Nothobranchius furzeri: one gene and its partner. The protein of the gene in region 2 purifies or fractionates together with the protein of the main gene of each other region. This does not show direct contact. Links are inferred from orthologs where the notes say so. Each region holds a gene or a part of one and is shown on either strand. Other genes may lie near its edges. The genes, in order: CASP8 and FADD-like apoptosis regulator and tnfrsfa.

Region 1 (2,645 bases), on a different chromosome or scaffold from region 2:
GGAACCTTGTGGCACCCCCCCCCCCCCCCCCAATGCAGTGGGAGACAGGAGGATGCAGTCAACATTCTGGACAGAGATGGATCGGTTGGATGGGCAGAAGCGGAACCATTTATGTGCCACCCCCGTCACCCCAACCCAAGACCCAACTCAGATCAAATCAAGGTCCGCTTAATAGTGATTTGGGAGCAGAGTGGTACAAAACAACCAACGACAAACATATACAACAAAATAGTTTATAAAAAAATTAAAATGCCTTTTTCCAAAACATTTAAATAAATGAACAGCAAATAGCAACACTGGGGAAAAAATTTACATTGCTTAATTAATAGTGATATAAGGTTAAGTAGAATTTTTGATTTTGCTTTTTACTGAATTGCAATGTTGTGATAGTTTGTGCTTTAGATAAGAAACAGACAAATATTCATGCAATGTAAATATAACATATTTTCTCCCACAATCTTCCATAGTAAGTGGCTGTAGCAGCAAAATTTGAATAAAACATTAAGTATTTCAGCACTAATACATTCAAATTAACATGACTATTCACTCAGTGTCTTACTGATGTTCTTTTTCAATTTTGATTTGGTAGATGCAAAATGATCACTTGGCCCCACACAAAACCTTAAAAACGGAAGGATGGTAAGTTAAAACTTTATTGTACATTATGATGAATACATGAAATGTAATAAAAAGTACAATTAACATTCTATTAAAGCTATGAATAAAAATACATTTTCAACTAAATATATTAAGGTCAGCATTTGACATTTATAAGCTAGCATAATTATATAAATTTAAATTCACATTTAAAGAGAAGCAGAAAGAAACATTCAACTTCATGACGATGAAGAAAAGCTCCTCGTCGCGTCTTTAGACTATATTTTATTACAGTAAACTTCAAGACTCATTTTTTACTGAGATCTGAGATAATAAAAAAATGTAAATTTATATAGTGAGCTGCCTTCCAATGTTAGTTTAACTGTAAGTCTTGAGTTTCCAGGACTAACAATACTCTATGTTGCTCTTTTTCAGACGTCTGTATCATGAAGTCTCTCAATAGTTTACTTGCATCTGTTATAAAAAAGTTGAAATATAAAGAACTAAATAGTGTCTCAGGTATACAGAATGAGTAGTGACGGAAGCAAATACACTTTTATTTAGTTTTACTTTATATTTAAATAAATGTTCTGCTTCTATTCTGTTTGGTTCTAGTTTTCCATCTTCATTGAGTCTCTGGTTAAAATGTTGAGGTTCTGAATATGGATTGGGGGGGGGGGGGGGGACAAGGTTTTATAGAAAAATGTATAAAATAAAGAGAGAAAAATATGTTTAGTATTTAAATATTTCTTCTTCAGCCGCTAGGTGGCAGTGTGCACAAATGAAACGCTTGAATCCATGTGAAATTGGTTGAGGGAGTTCAGTTGAAGTAACTTCCACTTTAGCATTTCTAATCCAGATATAGATTCTTCCTTAAAGTGTGTTTTACGTCGATGCTATAAGCTGCTCCAGGATTTCTTCTATTATGCTCAAAAATGGCTCCATTCACCCTCATTTGAACGTCAACAAGATTCAGTTTCCTGTCAGAACAGGGGAGAGAAAACGAGAAACATTTAGACGAACAGAAGACGATATTAAATTTAATGTTTGCTTCTACCTTCTTTGGGCGTCGTGTAAGGCATCAGTCAGCGCCTTTAGGTAGACAGAGTGATGTTTCCTTTGCAGCAGCTGACGTTCATCTGTCCAGCAGTGACTCCAGAATATATCTGCTTCTTTGGGAATGGAACCACTCGCTGGCTGTCTATTAAAGCCATCGACCTCCACGCTCTCGGCCACGTAGTTCAAATTAGACTCTACAACGTTGTACCTCTGGATAAAGAACAGCTTTGGCTTCCCAGCCAGCATGGGACAAGCGTCACCCGTGAAAAGATTTCTGATGCAATCTATAGCAAAACCGCCACCATACTCATCTGTACCCAAAAGGCGGTGGGTAGAACCACGGCTGATGATGCAACAGACAAAAGCATCTCCTATGTGGTTTTCTGTCGGTCTCAATATTTCTCTGAGAGATAAAAGGATGAGATCAGAAGTCAAGAAAAGGTAGAGGGAAACGTTGAAGTGAAGAGCCTTGAACGTCTGTTCTAACATTTCTGAAAGAGAAAGACGACATAAATAATTAGAGAATAAGTGAGTGACTTTGCAGTACACATGTATTTTTTCCCTTCATCTGAGTATTTTCACTTTTCCTGCACCACATCTCAAGGATTGTTGGGCTACATTTTACGGTACGATAACTTCTTATTCACTAAAAATCATATTTTAAACTGAAATATTTATCCTAATTGTAGTCACTCAAGCCACTTGTACAATAAGAAAATTAGCCCTGTAGAATAAATTTAATTCCTTAATTCAGTTTTCCACAAAAATGCAAATCACAAAACCAAATTACTGCATAGGCATTAAAGCAGCAATCTGGAGTGTTCCCCCTTTCAGGAATTACGTATGAGTTTTTCAGAAATCCATAAAGTGACAGCATTAACCTGTTCTGTGAAAGAATGTGAGCGATTTGTCAAAATTCTATTTTGTTTTACCTCATTATAATGTTTTAGGTCTCACCTCCACCATTTCCCACACAGTCTATAATTACA
Region 2 (3,558 bases):
CATTTTTATGGTGAGAAAACATCAGTCAAGACTGAGGAGCCCGTTTCCACAGCAGGAATCTTACCGAGTAGTGGAAGCAGGCGATGTCGTAGAGGGTCAACCTGTAGCACGAGGACAAAATGTAAACATAAGATGAACAAACATCAGCTGCTTTAAAGATCAGAGTTTGTTCTGATGCTTTTCCTCACCGTGTCTGCAGGCTGAAGTCTGACCGCCGCAGGGCTGTGGTGCGGGGTGTTCTCAGAGAACGCTGCGGTGGGCAGCGCTGATAGACTCGTCTGAGATGAACTAGTAGTGTTGGGTAAACTGTCTCCAAGTCCCCTGTCCTCATCCTCGAGGGGAGGGCAGGCCTTGGTCATCCCGGCCTGAGTCTCCTGCAGCAGCGGCCGGGACTCTGGGCGCGGCTCTTCGCCCTCCAGGCCGGCGTTTTGATCATTCTGTCTCTCCTCGGCTGTGGCTCCACTCTCGTCCTAACCAGCAGAGGGGCGAACGAGGTAAACTAGTCACACATTGTCCTAAACATCATCTACACTAGTCAAGACTGATTAGACGACTTACAATGGGAATCTTGACAATTTCACTGGAGTCACAGTGGTTCTTGGACCCTGCTGAAAGCAGGGAAACAGCCTTAAGCATGAACACACAGAACCAGTGAAAACAACTCCCAGTCATCAGTAAGTGATGCTAACTCACATGGAAGTTCACACGAACGCTGCTTGATTACAAACCACCACAAGGCCCACGCAACGACGGCGATGAAGATGACAATGATCAGGATGACAAATATTGTGATGACTGAAAGAAATAACACACAAAATCAGTGAAAAAGCCTAGACAGGTTTCAGCTAGAGTGGCTCTTAAAGCCGACTAACAGGCTGTGTGAAAAATACCGTGATTAGTTGGAGAGGTAGAAGTCGGCGGGGTACGATCCGTGGCGCTTTCAGTGGGAGACGGACCCCGTGTTCGGCAAACCGTGTTGGAAACAGGCGTGCAGTTCTTCACCACCTCCTCACCTGATTTACACCTATAAACAGTTTTTGGGGAGATCAATAATAATGCATCAACTCCACCAAGCAACAGGCCCAGGGGTCATTACTGTAGTCAGTCCCTGATGCACACTATGGCTCTGAGTGGTGAACAAGTCTCTATAGGCTGGGTCTGGTCTGGTCTAGCCTAATCTAGCCTGATCTGGTCTGATCTGATCTAGTGTAATCTAGTCTAGTCTCATCTGATCTGGTCTGTTCTAGACTAGTCTGATCTAGTTTGATCTGGTCTAGTGTAGTCTGATCTGATCTAGTGTAATGTAGTCCAGTCTAGTCTAGTCTCATCTGATCTGGTCTAGTCTGGTCTGGTCTAGTTTGGTCTCATCTGATCTGGTCTGTTCTAGACTAGTCTGATCTAGTTTGATCTGGTCTAGTGTAGTCTGATCTGATCTAGTGTAATGTAGTCCAGTCTAGTCTAGTCTCATCTGATCTGGTCTAGCCTGGTCTGGTCTGATCTAGTTTAGTCTAGTCTAGTTACCTAATCTGGTCTAGTCTGGCATGCCAGCAGGGTGGAAGTAAAATCATCAAACAAGACTCACTTGGCACAACGCTTGCAGACTTCGCAGGCCTGGTCTGGAACACAGAAGGTACCTGGTTTGCACTGGCACCTGGTGTCTGTAGTGGTGGTGCAGGACTTGGTTTCAATCTCATCTGTGGAGAGGTGGGAAAACCATGAAAACACAAACCTGACAACTTATTTCAAATATCTGAATTCTAACATCTTGCTAAACGTTTGGGGTCGTGGGGAACTGGTGTTGGGGGACAGGTCTCCAGTCCATCACAGGGACAACACACACGCACACGCACACGCGCGCACACACACACACACACACACACACACACACACACTCCTAGGGACAATTCAGTCTCCCACTAATCAGACAAGCATTTTTTTTGGTCTGTGGGAGGAAACCGATGTACCCAGAGAAACTCCACGCATGCACACGAAGAACACACATACTCTACATGAAACCAAAGTCTTTAAAACCAACAGCAGTCTGTTCAGGTGTGATCCAAATAAACAAATAAACACTCCACCTCCACAGAACACCTGTTATTAAGTGTCCAAACTGACTTTCTACTGATTTTTTTTTGCACAATTAAACCCCCCCCCCCTTTTTTTTTTTTTTTTACAGAGGTGTAGTGCGTTCACTTGAAGAAAAAAGAAAACTGTTTTTCTGAATAAAAACTGTTAGGGCAAGGAGGAAAAAATGTTCTGTTCCACGAGTATCGCTCAACGATTCTCGTGTCCTGGCATCGATAACATGATACGGGAAAGTTTTGCTTTGGCTAGAAGATCTGATGGGGCTTTAGTCATGGAGTTCATCCTACTTAGCCAGTTAGTAAAGCCTACAACCACAGAACATCATCTCTATAAAACACTGCAGTGATACATTTATCCATTTAGTTTAAATTATCTCATTTATTCAGAAAAAATTCTTAATTATTTTGAAAAATAATGTTAATTAAAAAGATCAGAGTTTCTATTTTTATCTAATATTATTAGGGATGTCTCATATTATCACCGCCGGTGATGATCAGTATTGGTTTTTTACTCATTTTGATACCATGCACTAGGGCTGCACAATATATCGCAAACATATCGTTGTCGCGATATCAGCATGCACAATATGCATCGAAAACAACAGATAATAATCGCAATGAATGGTCAGCTCAAATATTTGCTACACGAAATGCATTCTGTCCATCAAATGAAAGCATGATGTTTTTTTAACCAATCAAATAGAGTTCTTCACCCATTTGGCCAATTGGGTGGGTTCTCATAGGTCAGATGCCCGCCCCCGAGGTGGACGGCATCTAATTTTGATGGTTAGCAAACACCTGAGTTAGCTTTGTTCTGATCTTTCTGCTGATTCTGCTTTTCCCGGGATCCACTGATTGCCTTTTCTTGTTCATTTTCTTTTTCCCTTTCCACACATTTTTTGCTTTTCTCATTTGTATGACTTTGTCATTTTTTAATTTCTTTGTTTTTGATTATTTTTGTTCTTGAGTTAAGTTTTTATTTATCGCAAGTAATATCGTCATCGCAATATTAATCACTGTTATCGTATATCGCAGGTTTTCCTAATATAGTGCGGCCTTACCATGCACATACTGTACATCATGCTCCTCAGCCACTCTTCTCACCCAAAGTGTCCACATATTATTTCATATAATATGAAGTTTGCTTGGCACAAGTGGCCTAACTTAAATTGATGTAGTCGTCATATTTTACACAGATAATATTTAAAGGAACTTTACAGACTTTTGAATTTTAATGCTCGCGTTTGCCCCCTCAGGCCAAAAGCGTAACGGCAGCTTCAATAGTAGGCTCGTGCATGAGGTGCGCATGCTTTACGTGAACACTCCTTAACGAAAATAACAGCTGAGACAGTCCCGTGTGTGTGTGTGTGTGTGTGTGTGTGTGTGTGTGTGTGTGTGTGTGTGTGTGTGTGTGTGTGTGTGTGTGTGTGTGTGTGTGTGTGTGTGTGTGTGTGTGTGTGTGTGTGTCGGA

The links.
Region 1: the proteins of tnfrsfa (region 2) and CASP8 and FADD-like apoptosis regulator purify together in Homo sapiens (affinity purification with western blotting; 5 studies listed by BioGRID and IntAct, with this or other methods). This does not show direct contact. The link is inferred for Nothobranchius furzeri from reciprocal best matches to the Homo sapiens genes TNFRSF10A and CFLAR.

What each region holds. Positions count from the first base shown.
Region 1 is NC_091754.1:17,630,537-17,633,181, forward strand, and holds the end of CASP8 and FADD-like apoptosis regulator, read right to left. Parts: coding exon 2,614-2,645; intron 2,148-2,613; coding exon 1,655-2,147; intron 1,578-1,654; coding exon 1,448-1,577; 3' UTR 640-1,447; downstream 1-639. UniProt on the Homo sapiens protein: Apoptosis regulator protein which may function as a crucial link between cell survival and cell death pathways in mammalian cells. Acts as an inhibitor of TNFRSF6 mediated apoptosis.
Region 2 is NC_091746.1:65,398,651-65,402,208, forward strand, and holds part of tnfrsfa (tumor necrosis factor receptor superfamily, member a), read right to left. Parts: intron 1,695-3,558; coding exon 1,583-1,694; intron 1,025-1,582; coding exon 891-1,024; intron 796-890; coding exon 694-795; intron 609-693; coding exon 559-608; intron 471-558; coding exon 189-470; intron 102-188; coding exon 65-101; intron 1-64. UniProt on the Homo sapiens protein: Receptor for the cytotoxic ligand TNFSF10/TRAIL. The adapter molecule FADD recruits caspase-8 to the activated receptor.